Linked DNA regions of Mus musculus. The protein of the gene in region 3 purifies or fractionates together with the protein of the main gene of each other region. This does not show direct contact. Links are inferred from orthologs where the notes say so. Each region holds a gene or a part of one and is shown on either strand. Other genes may lie near its edges.

The links. Proteins that work in one complex are often made in the same cells at the same time.
Region 1: the proteins of Pgrmc1 (region 3) and Dusp9 purify together in Homo sapiens (affinity purification with mass spectrometry; 3 studies listed by BioGRID). This does not show direct contact. The link is inferred for Mus musculus from reciprocal best matches to the Homo sapiens genes PGRMC1 and DUSP9.
Region 2: the proteins of Pgrmc1 (region 3) and Canx purify together in Homo sapiens (affinity purification with mass spectrometry; 3 studies listed by BioGRID and IntAct, with this or other methods). This does not show direct contact. The link is inferred for Mus musculus from reciprocal best matches to the Homo sapiens genes PGRMC1 and CANX.

Annotation. Positions count from the first base shown.
Region 1 is NC_000086.7:73,636,893-73,642,769, reverse strand, and holds the start of Dusp9 (dual specificity protein phosphatase 9), read right to left. Parts: upstream 3,330-5,877; 5' UTR 3,129-3,329; intron 2,578-3,128; 5' UTR 2,543-2,577; coding exon 1,966-2,542; intron 1,424-1,965; coding exon 968-1,423; intron 687-967; coding exon 361-686; 3' UTR 1-360. UniProt on the Homo sapiens protein: Inactivates MAP kinases. Has a specificity for the ERK family.
Region 2 is NC_000077.6:50,322,345-50,328,360, forward strand, and holds the start of Canx (calnexin precursor), read right to left. Parts: upstream 3,330-6,016; 5' UTR 3,149-3,329; intron 1-3,148. UniProt on the Homo sapiens protein: Calcium-binding protein that interacts with newly synthesized monoglucosylated glycoproteins in the endoplasmic reticulum. It may act in assisting protein assembly and/or in the retention within the ER of unassembled protein subunits.
Region 3 is NC_000086.7:36,595,546-36,601,484, reverse strand, and holds the start of Pgrmc1 (membrane-associated progesterone receptor component 1), read right to left. Parts: upstream 3,293-5,939; 5' UTR 3,199-3,292; coding exon 2,871-3,198; intron 1-2,870. UniProt on the Homo sapiens protein: Component of a progesterone-binding protein complex. Binds progesterone. Has many reported cellular functions (heme homeostasis, interaction with CYPs). Required for the maintenance of uterine histoarchitecture and normal female reproductive lifespan.

The sequences.
Region 1 (5,877 bases), about 37 Mb from region 3:
CAGGGCCCAGGCAGCAATCTGGAATGGTCTCTTGGATAGGAAGCCCCACTCCCACCCTGAAAAAAGAAAGTAACAGTCACAGACGAGGCAGGTTCTGGAGCATGGCCCCGCTCTAGAGCGGTGAGGGTCAGGCCCGAAGCCCGGGCCCACCAGTAGGCACGTGAAATAGAATCTGGGGCTGGCCTTGAGTGGGTGGGGCAGGTTTCTACTCTGTTCCTGCCTTGCTCCACCATCCCCACATGAGGTATTGCGCTTTCCCTCCCCCCTTCCCCTTTCCCCTCTCCCTGCTTATGGCTGCATCCCATCCCTGCTTATACTAGGGGTCATAAGTAGGGACCAGCCTATCAGCTCCATGCGGCTTTATGTGGGGTCCAGCTCAAAGACCCCATCACTGGTAGGGGTAGTAAAGAAGGAAGGTGGGTCTGAGACGGTGGACTCTGGTCCCCCACTGCCCCGCCCCCCGGAGCGCTTCCCCCCCAGGCGCAGGCTGCGTTCAAAGTCTAGCAGCTGCCCCATAAAGTTGAAGTTAGGTGAGATGTTAGACTTCTTCCGCTTGACCAAGTCGTAGGCATCGTTGAGTGAGAGGTGAAGCTTCTGCATGAGGTAGGCCACGGTGACAGTGACAGAGCGGCTGACCCCTGCCAGACAGTGGACGAGCACCCCACAGTTCTGCGACAAGGCCTCATCTAGGTAAAACAGGACAGAACAGAAACACCCCCTAAGGGTCACTATGAGTGAGACCAAAGCTATACGAATTTCTGGGATCACCATCACTGCCTCCCTACCCTGCCGAGACCATATCTGAAGGATCTCTCTCACTGGCAGTTGACCTGAGCTCTACCCCCACCTCCCCAAGTGTCACGTGGGCTCTGGGAATGGAGTCAGGAGGACGAGAGGCCAAGAATCAGTCTGGTGGGTGGAGATTGTGGAGGGGGAGGGACAGGGGGACAAAGTAGGGAGGACTTACCAATGAATGCAATGGCCTCCGGAAAGAACTGGGACAGATTCTGGCTCCAATGGTCAGAGATGGGGATCTGCTTGTAGTGGAAGTCACCATTCTTCTCAAAGAGGTTAGGAAGGTTGGGGGTGACATTGAGGATATAGCGGATGCCAAGCTTGGCCAGGCTCTCCAAATTGGCTGAATCTCGAGCACTGCCTAGGTAGAGATTGGGCAGGATCTGGACTGGGAAGGGTGGTAGCAGCCCAGCTGGAGGGGATGTGGTGTTCTCAGAATCTAGGCCACAGCTCAAGGTGTCACGGTCAGCCTCAGACTCTGCATCAGAGAAATCAGAGCTCAAGCACAGGCCACCTAGCCCCACCACAGGCACTGGGCTAGACATTGAGCCCAGGCCTGAGCCGGCACGACCACTGAAGCTGGTTTCACACAGGTGAGGACACTCGGCCTGGAACTTGCTGAAGCCACCTGTCAGGAAAGAAGGGCGAGGTCTTACTAGTTAATATAGCCTCTGGGCAGCCAAGTATCCCTAGCTGGGGCTAGGGAGCTGACACCACACAGCTCTCCGGGGTGGGGGTTGCAGATATTGCCAAAGGGAACGCATAAGCCAGCAGATTTGTTTAAACCACATGTGCTGTGCTATAGACAGCCATCCACCCTCACTCAGCATTAGTGACTGTTTCTTTGGCTGATAAGTGCCCAATGCAGCCCTTAGTCTTGGGGCATTATCCTGTGAACCAGGTTGTTTCAGGTCAATTCTCCCCATTATCCAGACTTATAAATGGGCTTGGAGGGATGAAGGACTTGCCCAAGGTCACGGTCAGCTCTGCCTCCCCAAAAGCTGTTGGGCAGGTTATCAGGAGGGAGGCGCTTACCCTATATTTTAGACAAAATAAGATTGAGTTTGCTGAAGGATAAAGTAATTATGAAATCCCCTTGGAAAGAAGGATCTTTTCTCCTGACCTGAGGCCTCTCCAGAGTGCTCTCTCAGGCCACTGACCCTCACTTACCCTGTAGGTAGTATGCTGGGTAGCCTTCTTCCCGCAGCTTCTGGAGCAGGACGCCCAGCACCGAGTCAGCATCCCACTCTTCTTTGGCCTCCGCTTTGGCCTCCGCTTTAGCCTCCGCTTTGGCCTCCGCTTTGGCCTCCGCTTTGGCCTCCGCTTTAGCCTCCGCTTTGGCCTCCGCTTTGGCCTCCGCTTTAGCCTCCGCTTCGTTCTCCGCTTCAGCCTTAGGTTCGGCCTCCGCTTCAGCCTTAGGTTCGGCCTCCGCTTCAGCCTTAGGTTCGGCCTTCGCTTCAGCCTCCGCTGCTTCACGATGGCACTGGCCACTGCTACCCTGGTCGTACAGGAGCACAGGGGCCGGTGGGGGAGGCTGCAGTGGTGGCCCAGGCAAGAGCGACCGCACCGACATGCTCCCCCTCCGCAGGCGGCGCAGCATCAGCGAGGGCAGGGCCACGCTCAGCGCCCCGCAGATGCGCGCCGACTCATACAGCTCCCGGCTGCGGCAGTCCAGCAGCAGAAGCTGTGGGCGCGGGGACGACAGCTCCTGACGCAGCCACAGGCATGACCGACTCAGACTCTCCATGGTCGCGCAGCGTCCTGCACGTCGGGCAGTGGGTGCTGTGGAGAGAGGCAAGGCGCGGAGTGAGGGCAAGTTTGTCTCTACTCCTGCAGCGTGGATCAGGCTACTGAGGCGGGAAGTCAACCCCTGTCCTGAGGGCAGGCTTTCAGTGTCCCCGCAGGGACATTCCTCTACCGCCTGCTTCTCTCCTCGCGCTCCACCCACAGTGAGAACACCAAGGAAGGCGCCCCTGGAAAAAGACCCGAGGCTGCCGCCACTTGGGCGCTGCTCCCTGCCCCGCTTACATGGAGTTTTCGTGAGACATACCCCAGAAGATAGCTGGGCGTCTACCGGTCTCTGAAGTGCTAGGAGGACTAAAACCAGTTCCCTCCACACCCCTTTTCTGACTTTCTCATTTGCTCTGATCTCCATCACTCCCCAAGTTCAATTTTGGATGTGTGGAGAAGTTGGGTTCAAGGCCCGGCTCTCCTCTAAAGCCCGGAAGACCCAGAGAACAAGAGGGTCACCGAGGTTGTGGGCCTCGGCGAGTCCCGTAAGAGCTGACTCGGCCCCACTCCTACCCACCCCAGGAGAGAACAAAAGGAGAGACCTGGAGCGAGATCCAGAGGCAGGCGACTGCACCCGGACGTCCTGGCCACAGCTAGTGCCACGGCAGGGCGTAGGTATCGTTCATGGAGACGGATCCCCCAGGCTTGGGCGCTCGGAGAGGGCGGGGTGGTGGAGCAGGCTCGCACGTGGAAGCCAAGCCTCGCGCCACTCGTGCGCCGGCCGCTTCCTGGCAGCAGAATCCAGATTCCACCTTGGAAGGCTCTGCCTTCGGACCGACTAAGTAGCAGCTCAAAGGGGCGGGACGGGGCGGGGCGGTGGGGCGGGCTCAGGGAGCAGGAGAGCCAACCAGGGCTAAGGAAAAGCCTGGTGGGAGTTGCAAGCCGCAGGCTGAGCTAGGGCTTCCACCCAGGCGGGACAGGGTCAGGGCAGAGGCCAAGGGCAGGTCGGGGGCCCAGCAGGGGACATGTTGCAGTTGCCCCTGCTTGGCGCCAGTCTGGTCCCTGGAAGCAGGAAGAGGGGTGGGGACAAAAGCCCAGAGCCCCAGAACCAGAAACTGTCTCAAACAACTCAATAATGCTGAACTACCTGGAACTAGATGGCCCCCATCTGTATAATGGGCCAATCAGAGCCTTCTAATGTATTTTACTGTGAGATGCCACTAAAAAACTGAAGGCACAAGGCAGCTCCTGGGTGTGCTATTTCCATCTGGGCTTCATTTGTACAGGCCTAGCTAAAGGTACACAAGAATTCCGAGCACCCAACTCTAAACTGAGACACTGTGCTCTTATCAGGTGAAGAGGGGCGCCTCCCCAAAGCCTCTTTCCCATAAGCCCCTGGATGGATCCACGTGGAAAGAAGTCGTTTTACTGCAATATGTCCCCATCCCCATTCTCCTTCTGGCTTTTCTAGTGGTCATGACTATACAAGTCACTGTCCCAGTTTTTGAAACTTCAGCGTGTCTCCACCCTGCCCCATTCCAGAGCACCATTCAGTCCACTAAGGCTGGTGGCCTCCAGCCAGCCCACTGGACAGGTGATGAACAGGAAAGACACACAAGGGCTCTCCTTGCCTGGGTGTTCTAGTCCAGCAGGACACACTAACAATAAGCAAAGGCACTGGACCAGATATCGGGGTGATAAGTGCTGACAATGAAAGGAGAGGCAGGGGAGGCTTCTAAAAAAGCCCCATCTGGCCATGTGTCCTTTCTCTGCTAAAAGCCCAAGAAAAGCAAATAACAGTTTTAAAGGAAAACACACAACAGATAAGATAAAGCTCGCACAAAATAATCAAAGGGTTAAGACCCCGTAGATAAATGGGTAAGGAACTCAAGGACTGCATACTCTGCCCAAAGGAAGGAATGTGATGGGGTAAGAATATATGGGGAAAGGTTGAAGCTCAGGCATGGAAGGAAAGCCAATTCAAAAAAATAGGGAAATACTTCCCAGTCACTACATTAGTAGAATGTTCTCAAAATGAGAACGCCAAGTGTTGGCAAGAGCTGACTGGGGCTTGATTATGTTGTGGACAAGTTAGTGGTGGCATGAGGCCATGGATGCAGACAGCTGAAGAGACAGTATCTTACCCTCCCAATCCTGGAGGTTGTGTACTTGGAGGGAGGATCTCCAACAAGAGGGAAATACTGGTATTCCCAGAAATCTAGCTGTGCTCTCCGGAGTAGGCTTTCTAGAGGAAGTGATAGGAACTGCCCTGGAGGATGAGCATGGGAGAGAGGCACCTCTCCATGAAGGTACGGGGAGCCTAGGCATCAATAACCCGTTCCACTCCTGTCCACACCTGAAGAATATTTTCCCTACACCTAGTCCCAGGCGCCTGCTGGCAAGGCCCCAATTCTAGCATAGGATAGGAGAGGATGACTGATGCTCCGTCTCCAAAGTCAGTGCTCAGTGCCCAACGCATGCCTCGTTGCAGTGCCAGCAAACTGGACAAATGGGAACCTGTTGCCACCCCCGCACTGCAGGGTTCGGTGCAGCCAAGGCCTCCCCTCGCCTGCCTCTACTAACACCTCCCCCCCCTGCCCCGCAGCCTCTGCTGGAGCTCTGGCCCCGCCCCTCTCCTGCTTCTGGATTCTCAGGCGGACAGGATTTGGGGAAGGCTGCTGCACGTGGGGCCCTTCCCGTCCCACTTTGGCGGGTGGAGTCAGGCGAAGCACTCATCACTCGCCTCAGGGTGGGCGGTGAGCCCACTGTCGCCCACGCTGGGGGCCCCAGGGCTTCCGACTGGCCAGCCCAACGAACCTCCCCCCACCAGGTCCACTGCGTGCTGTGGGCGCTCTCAGGTCCCCCAGATGCCCGAACGGCACTGCTCGCAGCAAAATGCGCGATTCCCGCCCGGCCCAGTGGCAGGATTTCAGTTGTCGCTACCCGGTCACATGGCCCGTAGCGCAACTCCCAGAGACAACGTTTCGACCAAATGCAGTGTCTTTTCCATAAAACCCACTTTCCGCTGAGAATGGCCTTATGATTTTCCTAGTAGAGCTCCTCGCGGGACTGAGAGCTCCTCCAAGGCAGGAACCGGTGTGTGCCCAGTCCCAAGCTGACCTGAGACTCCCCAGTGAGGGACTAGTACACGCTCCGGGTGCTTGCAGAAGAAATGCTCATTAACAAAGAAGGCATGAATGAATGAAACTAATTGTTGCCCGGAGGAGCCCAGGAGGGTGCTGCTCCTGCTTTCTCCTTCCACCTAGCACACACTCCTCCCAGACACTCACAAGCACACGTGCACACATAGCACTCCATAAAGCATACACGCAGGTTGGGATACACATAGTG
Region 2 (6,016 bases), on a different chromosome or scaffold from region 3:
CATTTAATGGGGAAAAATACAACTTTATATGCTCATCTATTAAAAAATAATTTTTAAAAAGTATGCATGATTACATACCCCTGCAGTCCCAGTTACTTGGGAGGCTGAATTTGGATGACTAAGTGAACTCAGAAATTCAAGATCACCTTACAGTGAGGAGATAGTTAAGTAGTGGTGTTTTCCTAATTGCTAAGTTCAAGGCTCTAGAGTCCATCCTCAGTATTTGGGGGATGAGGTAGGATAACAAAGACAGAACAACATCCTGAGAAACAGTGTGACCTGCTCTATAAATGAGACCTATACCTTACTCACATGTCATATTTGGGGGTTTCTGCTTCATGTGTTGGGAATGGAACCCTGGGCCTAGGCCAAGAATTATATACCACCTTCTTGGATTTGTTTTCATTAACAGAAACATAGGAGTAATTTGGTGGTGGTGGGTTTTTTGTTTTTGTTTCGTTTTGTTTTGTTTGATACAGGGTTTCTCTGTTGTAGCCCTGGCTGTCCTGGAACTCACTCTGTAGACCAGGGTGGTCTTGAAGTCAGGGATAAATCTGCCTCTGCTTCCCTCATGCTGGGATCAAAGGTGAGCCACCACCACACCACCCAGCTAATAAGTGATTTTTTTTAAAAGAAACTTTTTCCTATTAATTCACTTTAAGATGTGAATACGCAGGATGGAGAGATGGCTCAGTGATTAAGAGTTGAATTCCCAGTTGGGCAGCTTACAACTGTTTGTAATTCCAACTCTAGAGAATATAATGCCCTTTACTGGCCCCCATGAATAATATATTGCATATATATTCACACCAACATACACATATTTTTAAATATATATATATATGTACATAGTACACACACACATATTAAAGATTTATTTCATGTATATGAGTACACTGTCCTCAGACACACCGGAAGAGGGCATCGGCTCTCATTAGAGATGACTGTGAGCCACCATGTGGTTCCTGGGAATTGAACTCAGGACCTCTGGAAGAACAGCCAGTGCCCCCAACCGATGAGATATCTCTCCAGCCCTAAATAAATCTTAAAATGATTTTTTTTAAAGACAAGAATACAATATAAAAATTGTCTAGATTCCTTAAAAAAAAAAAAAAAGAAAAAAGAAAAATTTCAGGGCTGAAGACATAGTTGCTGCTCTTCCAGAGGACCCAGGTTTGATTCCCAGCACCAATATGATGGGTCTCACACACATGGTACACAGACATACATGCAGGCAAAACACACATACACAGAAAATTAAATAAGCCTAAAAATTCTTTCCTAGCATTTGTAGCAATAACAAAGCATTTAACAAGCATTTTCCTAATGAGTTTTACAGTAAGCTATACAGACTACAACTATCTTTGGCACTTTAATTACTTCTTAGGACTTTTTATGAGCTGCCAATACTATTTGTCCATTTCCTTACACTTTCCCAAACAGTTTCTTAGTATCTGCCCTCTCAAAGGCAAAGCAAGTAGCACACTCATCCCCATTTCTTTCTTTCTTTCTTTCTTTCATTCCCATTTTTAAAGGATAGGAATTAAAGTTATCATGCTGGACAGTCTTCTGCAGTTATTCTTAGCAACTGCCACTCTACTCCCTCAAAGTTCTCTTACTGGGCAAGTGACCTCTGCAGGACAAGGATGCAAGGTGTGTTGTCAAGATGCACATGCCTTGTGGCTCTTGAAAGATTAAGGAGTTAATTGCACTGTTGAGTTAAGATAGCAAGGAGGTGACACCCATTCACAGACAGTTCGGTAAACTCCTATTGTGAATGGCTCACTACTATATACAGTTCTTCAGGGCCTGGCTCACCTGTAGTGTACCCCTGCCTGGCCTGTAAGCTTAATTACAGTATAAGTACAACATGAGAATTGATTCTGTTCATGCCCTTTCAAAGGTTACTGGAAAATATACAAAGATTTTTAAGGTAACCCAACTTGTCCCCCTTTAAAGGGGTGGGAGGGCAAATTATTTTTAAAAAACAGGCAGATTCTTCCATTTCTGAAGGGTAAAGAGACTGTAGCTCAACTTTGCCAAGCTTTTAGTATTCAGTTTGGTTTAACTTCACACAACTAGCAATGCAATCACTAGTGTCATGACCAGCAGTTAATACACAAAGTGTCATCAATGTGTCCTCAGGTCTTGGCACACAGGCCTTCAATATAAACATTAGTGTATCAGTGTAATGACCAAGGCATTCGGATTTCAAGAAGCCAGTTCGATTCCTACCCACTGAACCTTTACTACACATCCAATTTCTCATTCCCATTCCCTCGGAATTCAATACAAGGCCCATCAGTCATTCTGTCTACTCCTGGGGACTGAGCCCTAAAGTAGAAAAAAAAAATCTCCCAAATTCCCACTCCCCCGATTAATTGCAGTTAGGTGCTTGAACCAGGACTTTTAACCCAAACGGTCTAGTGCTCAGTTACAATCCCAACTGGATGACTAGAACTACCTGTATGACCTTGGGCCAGTCATTTCAAACTTCTAGGCCTCAGTTTCCTCCCCTCACTAACTGAACTTTCGCTTGTATCTCCTGCTCTTAAGGTCCTGTGAACACCCACACTGGATTACTATCTATCCACCACCGAATAGGCAGGTGCTTTAATAGTTAAGCCTTAAGTTTCTCAAGCGGTACACGTTCTAGTACATTCTACTCCCTCATCAGGATGCTATGGTCCAGTCTTCCCTTTGGGCAAGTTATTTTCTAATCTGTAACGCTTATCTCTGGATTTACTTCACCTTTCCCTGCTATTTGGGCTACCTACTAGGCCGAATTCTAATACCACACCTGTACCGGATTACTCAGCCCACCTCTGGGTGGGCCTGGCCAGGGCCTAAGAAAGCTCTAGAAGCAAAGCCGTAGGAAGTTGTTAGCTTTCTCAGAGGTCAAGGGAAACCCCAGGACACCTGCCACGCCTCCCGACCCCGGCGGCGCTGCCCAGGCTAGCCTCTCTAACCCGGCCGCTCTCCTCACTGCCCTGCGCGTCCGCCCAGGCCTGCGCCATTCGAAAGCCCGCCCGACCCCTCAGTCGTCGAGCCTACAGCCACGCCCGACCCCCTCCGCCACGGCGCCGCTCGCCCAGTCCCCCAAGGCTCGTCCCGGGCCTGAGATCCCCGCACACGCTTCCCGTCTCACCTCGAGCCTCCCGGGGACCACTGGCGGCTCCCTCACCTTCTCCCACCCGCACACCCGGCCCCGTGCTGCAGTGGAGACAGCGGCAGAGGCGGCCCGACCGTCACGTGCCGCAGAACTAAGAGGCCTCGGCTACGGCCGCCGCGCGAGCGAGCCCCACCGCACGAAGCCCAACCCCGCGTCCGCCCCTCGTTCCTGAGTGGCTAAAACGAACGTCAGATCCCGCCCCTTTGCGCAAGATCTAAGAATTTATTGGTAGATACAGCCATCGCTCGAAGCGCCTTCCCATACGCCCCCTAGGGCTATTCTTCGTGGAGCGTGGTGATTGGTCAATAGCGAGGCAGGAAGTGGTTGCTGATTGGGTATGAAGGAGGAAGGCGGGCCGTCACCAAACGGGCGGGCGCGCGCCGCGGAGGGCGGACGGATCTGGCACGCGTTCTCGCGTGGGTCGCCCTAGTCCCTCAGGGCGGGTGTGTTGGACATCCAGAAGACGGCTTTCCGACCCATTGAGTTAGGAACTCTGTCCCAACCCCGCCTGGGACCTATGGCCTTCATCACAAATGGTGAGAGGTCGGGCGGTGTGCTTGCGCAGTGAGTGAAATCCCTCTGGGTAGCAGACACCGCCTTTCCTGCGGAGTCATCGCCCTGAGCTCAGGAGCCTGAGACCTCTTTACCTAACAAAACACTACCTAGATTCACAATCAAGCCACATGGAGTCACTTTCCCATGTGCCCGTGCTGTTTCCTGATTTTAGTCGTTAAAATCAGACATACCTAAGCGACAGAGTTGAGGAAAAGGGTGATGCCATGTGCAGATTTAAAATAGCCTTTTCATAACCCACTCGTTTTTCAATATGCTGATAACGCTGTAAGATTGAAGTGGCTAAGGATTTGGCTAGATCCTTGAGAATCCTGATCGCCTCGGGTTGTATTTGGTGACCCAAAGCTTTGAATAATGTGGAAAGAAACAGCAGGTTTTTCTACATGTGAAACGAGCTTTGTTCCTGCCACCCCAAGAGAAAGGCAGTAAGGATTTGATGTTTGGGTCAATTTAGTAACCGCCAATTCTCTCTCCCTAATTTTAAAGAAGAGAAATTGCTTTCCTTATTTGCCTTATAAAGAGCATGTTCAAAATGAAAATTTGAAGCCAGCTTGGCACAGGCAGTACACATAATTTAAAAAAAAATTCTAAATTTACTTAGGTTGAGTTCTGGCTTGTGTTACCCAAGATGGCCTTGAATTTAAGAAAGCCAAAAAATCGACTTCTGCAGAGAGGTGTTAAAATATGTCAGTACTGAAGGAGTAGAGGAGTTGAGGCAGAACTTTTCTGTCTAAACTGACAAAGACTTGAACTGGACCTCATAGATATGCAAATTTTCTGTAGGTGGAGTTGGAAGGAAGTTCTTGAGATGAGAAAATTGTACAGAAGAGCAAAAAAGTGACTCTCAGGTATTTGGGGGATCCATATACTAAAAATGTTTTGGGAGCAATGGAGATGGCTCAGCAGGTAAGGACACTTGCCACCAAACCTGATGGCCTGAATTTAATTCCCAGAACTCAACGTGGTGAAAGAAGAGATTGAATTGTACTCTGACCTCTATACAAATTCACATACATACATTAATAAATGTGAAATTTTAATAAAAATGAGGACATGATGGCTCTAAACTATACTGTCCACAAAGAGACTGGGAACGTCAGTCTTCTGGTCTGTTCATGGTGTGTCATTATAGAATATTACAAGTTTCTTTTATGTTTCAGTTTATCCAAACAGCTAAACCTTAACAAAGTTAGCAAATACAAAGAGACTAGGCATATACCTTCAAGTCAGTTAGTGTTAACCTGAGTAGACCTTCAGGAATTGATGAGCCTTATTTATCAGAGATAGCTTATTCATCCAACACAAGTTATTACTTATCTAAAATTTTCTAGAAGCTTGGTGTTGAACAGTCAGCAAAAATATAAGTGGTTAGACATCAGTCTCTAAGTCTTAATTCTTTCTCAATGTCTTCATCCCCAATCTCTCTTACTTGATTTGATCCTACTTGAAGCAACAGTACTCATGTTTCCACCCAGTTTTTTTTTTCTCACTGGCTACATTACTATTGATCATTTCTTTGTACACACTAATCAGGCCCTGTCAAATTAATTGGTAGAAAATACAACTTATTTTATCACAGATTCATTAAACATTTTGCACTGATCATGTAGATTCCTTTTAATTGTCTGTTCATGGAGCTTGTCCAATTTTTCTATTCTAGGCTTTTCTTACTGGCTTGTAAGAAATCTACAGCCTAATGGTCTTGAGAGTGAGTTAGTTTCGATGGTTTGTAAGAAATCTTCACTCGCTGAGATGCTTCTTAAACTATTACTGAGAACCCACCCATCTCCAGCTTCATTATACCTTTTAAATTAGGAGCTATTTCTTTTGTCTTTTTGTTTTTTAAAGATATATTTTATTCCAGCACTTGGGAGGCAGAGGCAGGTGGATTTCTGAGTTCAAGGCCAGCCTGGTCTACAAAGTGAGCTCCAGGACAGCCAGGGCTACACAGAGAAACCCTGTCTCGAAAAACAAAAAAACAAAACAAAACAACATATTTATTTATATGTAAGTACACTGTAGCTGTCTTCAGACACCAGAAGAGGGAATCAGGTCACATTACAGATGGTTGTGAGCCACCATGTGGTTGCTGGGATTTGAACTCGGGACCTCCAGAAGAGCAGTCAGTGCTCTTAACCACTGAACCATCTCTCCAGCCCCTCTTTTCTCTTAATTGCACTTGTTCCTTCTTTTCTCATTATAATTTGTGTGGGTTTGAGGGCTCCATGAGTGTGCTGTACTTGCATATGTCTGTGTATATGGAAGCAAGAT
Region 3 (5,939 bases):
AGTCATGAACCCTAAGGCATCTGCAAGAACAATCATTTTACAAATACCAGTGGTTCCAAAGCCTCTCTGCGTTATATAACCTTTACTGTCTTATTTAAATCAGAACTCACAACAAGGGAGATCAGTTTTGGTACTATTATTAAGTGTAAGCATACAAATGAGTGTAAACAGCAGTGAAAACACTAAAATTTTCACTGAAAAGGGCTGCAATCAACGCCTTCAAATAATCTCCTAAAACCTGAAAAATGCTACTATGTATAACATCATAGCAAGCTTTTGTCTGAGGACAGTGGATCAATCTGAATCCACCTGAAGTGGTTATTTAGAGTTAAATATTGCACAAACAAATGAAAGGAATTCGGAGTACTTTAAGCAATGCCTCGTTTTCCCAAAAGGAGGCTAGATAGCAACTCTGACATTAAAATCGTCATACCAACTAGGAATGGCTGGTATTTCATTACAGTGTGGTTATCTGAAACTTTAGTCGACCAAACTGTTTTTCTTTCTAACATATTAAGATCCATTTTTTGTAGGACTGGGGCTTTGCATATTCTAGGAAAGCACCCTAGTGCTGAGATATACTTCAAACCCTTAGGATCATCTTGTAAATGCAACTAAGATTCTAAAATAGGGGTTGGTTTCAGTCCTCATTGCATGCTGCCACTAGAGAAGGTTTAAAAAGAACAAAATTCATATGCTTTTCACAAAATATATACTGCTAATGGAAATAGTATCACCTAGTGCTTGGAAACAAAGTCAAAGTCTTGGTTTGGACTCTTACCATTTTAGAAATTACAGTCCCTGGACTGGTAATGCATACTTAAACAAGATCTAAGGCAAATATTAATAGTCTTTGGAGAGTATATTTTGTTCACTACAAAGCATATTAACTAGATGCTTGGTGAGCAGAGCTTTGTGTTTTTCACTCACTGCTACTCGCTAGCATCTACGACTGTGCTGTACAGAGTACTAGACACTCAAATGGCTTCACTTCTAAGAGTACTCTGTAACAGAAAATATTTCCACTATGATACTATCAGTGTTCCTTGGCCTCCTCACACTGGGGGCGTGCTTGTCTTTTTATGTTCCCAGAGGGAAAACTAAGGCCTTGAGACCATAGGGCGTTGCACCAGATCACACAGCTGGTCAGGGACAACAGCGAGGCTAGAATGTAGAGTGCAGGTTGACTCCTAGTTGTAGCTGTTCCAGTACACACATCGATATCCGGCAGGATGACTCTGCAAACTGTAACCTACCTGGTTAGAATGGAGACAGCTTGACTCCAGCTGTGCTCTCTGAAAGCACGGAGGATCCCCATGTGATGACTTTGCAAATACAACCAGATGACGAGGCCTCGTGCATTTGTGTTGATTACCTTATGGTTTAGCTTAATAATTATGGGTAATTACACCATTGTTTATGGATAATGTGTGACTACAGTGACAAACAATATGTAGTTTTCCTATTATTTTGCAGTCACATGCCTACAGAACGTAATTTTCTAAAATGTCTGAAAGCAGAAAGGAAGAGTGAGAGTTCACTAAAAAGCCTTTGGCACATGTGCTTTTGATTGGCTGGACTCTGAGACGTAACAGAGTGGGTATGTCTGGTTTGGATTAGTGCTGGCTAGTCTTCCCTCTCAGACCAATGAGCATGTGAACATACCCACCCCCCAGCCCCGAGTTCCTGGTGCTTAGAGGAATCCATATTGGGAGAGCTAAAGCCTCTTCTTCCTCTCTAAATGTTCTAGAAAGCAGGGCTTTCTAAATCTGGCTGATTCCCCATTTCCCTACAGCAGAGGAGTAAAATGTAGATCTTTTTAGCCCTCTCCCCTGCCCCAGAGATCTAAGTGTGGCTATGGATGGTCAGGCCAAGAATCTGTATTTTTCATAAGCATCAGGTGATTGTGATAGGCAATCCAGTTTGGAAAAGCCTCATTTCTGGGGAGTTGTCCATCTCTTGTTTTCCCCTTGGTTGGCTTTTCCTGAAATCCCCCCACCCATCGGGCTTCACAGCCTTACCCTATTGTTTCTCAGGACCCTTCCACTCCTCCCTCCCACCCCCGTTTCATTTCATTTTATTTTTTCCACCTCCCAGTCTCCCCACTCTATCATACACTAAATATGGTGTTTCTGACCATCTCACCATGTTACCATAGTCCACCACACACTGCTCTTAATGCATCCAACCAAGCTTGGTCGCTTATTCATCATCCAGCCTGAGTCCACCCCACTCTGCACGCACATACACATACCAAAGACATACCTAACACATGTCACATTCCAAGCGCCACCCCCCAGACAAACGGTGTACACCAAACACACATTCACTGCGCATGCACACAGTGTACACACACACACACACACACACACACACACACACACATTCTCCGCCAGGAACAATGCTGCTTTACCTGACACTAATCCCCTTCTCCACTTTCTCTCTTTACACACCCTTACATTCCACCATGGCTCCTCCGGCGTCATCGGCCTCCACGTCTTCTCAAGTGTCTGGGCCTCTCTGGAGACACCTTCATTTTTTCCCCTCAAATCCGAAGTCTCCCCCTCTTTTCAGGACCCCCGCCCCAAAGCCCACTACCTTCGAAAAGTTCCCTAATATCCCGGGGCTTCGGACCTCGCTGTCCCTCCCACCCGCGGTTTCCAAGGCTCAGCCTCATTCGGGCATCCCATCCCCCCGTACGCACCCCCACCCACCCAGAGCCTCGTGCCCCCGGCCCGCTCCCATTGCTGCCCGCCTTCCCTCCGACCCTCCCACGGGGGCGCCCCACCTCCCCCGGCCTCTCTCCCGCCCCGCTTCCACGCCAGGGTCCCCTCTTTTGTCTCCACGACCCCCTGGCCCTGCCTCCGTACCAGGCCCGTAGAACTTGCGGCCTTTGGTCACGTCGAACACCTTGCCGTTGATGGCCATGAGAATGCGCGGGTCCTGGACGCCATCGAAACGCCTCAGCTCGGCAGGGGTGAAGTCGCGCCGCTTGAGGCGGGGCAGCGGGGGTGGTTCGTCGTCGTCGTTGTCGCCACTGGCACCGGGCTGGTCCCCGCGAACGATCTTGTAGAGCAGGAAGATGCAGAGGCCCAGGAGGAGCAGGTTGAGAGGAGACGTGAAAATCTCGTGCAGCAGCCCGCCGCCCTCTAGCTCGCTCGGGTCGGCGCCAGTCGCCACCACATCCTCGGCAGCCATGATCTCTGGAGCAAAGGTTGGGCCCGGCTAGGCAGAGCTCCGGAACAGTCCGCTTCCTCCGCCCTCCCAGCGAACAGTGGCGCGCAGCGTTCTTTGACAGAGGAAGAAAAGCTCGGGAGGGGCGGGGCTCCGGGGGCGGAGCCTATAAGCCCCCGCCCTTCGCGGCCACCTAAGCGCCCCGCCCTGCTCGGGCTGGCTCGGGCAAGCTGGGCCTGGTTCGGCCTCTGCTTCGGGCCCCCTATGTAGCCTCGGGGGTCTTGGTCTTTCTCCCTCAACCGCTCCGTCAACCAGGGCCACCGAGCCCAGCCCACCTCTCTGTTCTACCTGCTGGGCCTCTGCCCCGGTTTCCGGGCACCCTCAGATCATAGTGCAGCTCGCAGACACACAGCTCAGTCTCTTGGGTACAGTGGGTAGCTTCCCGCTGACCCTGTGGGGAAGCCTTGACTTTAGGGCCCGCTCCTCGCGGCAAATGACGTCAGTTAAAATGAGGTCGCATTTCTCTTGCTTCGCTTCTATTTTAAAGCCCCTTATACTCTCTCCCCTGGGCCATACCCTTAGAGCCAGGTAGCTGTTTTGGGATACTCTAATATCATGCCTTCAACTCCTTTTCACCTTACAGTCCTAGACTATTCGAACATCCATTTTGGGATGGTTCGCCTCCAATTCTTGCCCAAAAGCTGTGGGACTAACACCCAAAGGACAGCCAGTCAGGTAACAGGCCTGTCAATTCTATAAAATCTGGAGCTCAGATCGCCAGATTTTGCGTTTGTTCTTAAAGTTTTTTTTTTTCTTTTTGAAATCATCAATTATGCTTAGTCACAAGGCACCAGTAATCAACAACTGACATTCTGTTGTTGAGCCTTTTTTTTCTATAGAAATACCAGAATAATGTTCAAAGTTCCGTTGCTTGACAGCATTCTTCTATTTGAAGTCTGTGGAAACTACCCTTGGCAGTCACTGTAACCCTGAGCACAGCCCCTGATAAACGCTGGAGTTTGGAAGGATCCTAGATTTTATCTTTTTAGATTCCCAGGCTTCTGGTGTGCAAACAGGCTGCACGGGAGCAGGCCTCTATGGAACAAGGATTGTGCCTATTTTTCAGAGACCTAATCTGGCTGCCCCCCCCCTTAAATTGTAATTGGGAAACGGTAACATAAGAAAAAGGAGAATAATTAAAACCAAGCCATGCACACATCTGCAGAGCAGGGCACGACTTTTCCATACAATCCTGTTTGTACACCACTTACATGCAAGAGATTTGTGCAGAGAATTGGCTAAATTCTGAAAACTTTTGGCAAACACTGCTGTAATCCCTGCCCCCCCCCATCTTCTTAAAGTGTAATGAGTCAAACACTCTTTATATCCAGCCCACACATTTTTTCCCCCAGAGCTAAATTTAGGATTAGCTAAACCGGCCCCTCCAGATCTTTTGTCAAAACTCTTCAACTTAATCATCATGAAACAAGCTCAAACTGAGAGCACTCAGCTCCGGTTAGAATCCAGTTATCCCTTTCACAGAGTACTGTGAGCAGCAAAGATATTTCTTAAAAAATAACAAACTTGTGAAAAATGTTTTCATTTGAAACTAATATGGCCAAAAAAAAAAAAAAAAAAAGGGGGCTGGTGAGATGGCTCAGCGGTTAAGAGTGCCGACTGCTCTTCCAAAGGTCATGAGTTCAAATCCCAGCAACCACATGGTGGCTCATAACCATCTGTAATGAAATCTGATGCCCTCTTCTGGTGTGTCTGAAGACAGCTACAGTGTACTTACATATAATAAATAAATAAATATTTAAAAAAAAAAAAAAAAAAAAAGAATCTATCTTTCAGTGTTCATGTTAACTGATAGGAAGATCGTTAAGAGGCTGAGGAAATGGCCTAGTGGGCAAAACACACTGGCATGCAAGTGGAAGACCAGCTTCACCATCCCCAGCACTCATATAAAAGCTATGAGGGTTTGGCAGCTAGCCTTTAATGCAGAGCTGGGGAGTGGGCAACAGGTTAACAGACTATCTTTTGCCCTGCTATCTAAGGGGGGGTGATTAAGGGATACACTATACTTCAACCTCTGCCATCCACACAAGCACACCCCCCCATACACACACATGCATACTCAAATACATACCACACTCACAGACCATGTGGCAAAGAAGAAAGAAACAAAAAAAGAAAGAAAAGAAAATCACAAGTGAAATCCTCTAGTCATAATGGAGAAAAATGAGGAAATATCAGTGGTGAATAAAAGCATATAAAATGTTCAGTTTTGTTAGTAATTAAGAAATACATGGAAATACCATTGTCATCTGCCACCTTTGTATAGGATGGGTATAAAGAGCAGAAACGAATAACATGCTGGTAGAAAAGTGAGGAGGATGTTCCCATACATCAACATCAGCATAAGTTTTTGTTAGCCATAAGTGTTTTCATGAAACCCGCTTCTAGAAATAGAATTTTTGTCCCAGTAATCCACTTCTAGGAATCCATCTTGCTTAGAATGAAGACCAAGATTCCATTAGGAATATGTTCATCAAACATTCATTTTTGATATGGAAACTCTGGACACAACCCAAATGTTCAAGTTCAAATAAAGTGGCTAATTAATTCACTGTATATTGTGATAAATCATAGTTGGATTATTCAAATATCATCACATCATGGGAAAATATTTATGTTTCCGTATACAGGGAGAAAATAGCATGAAAAACTATATACAGTGTGAATTCGATGGTATACTGGCAGGT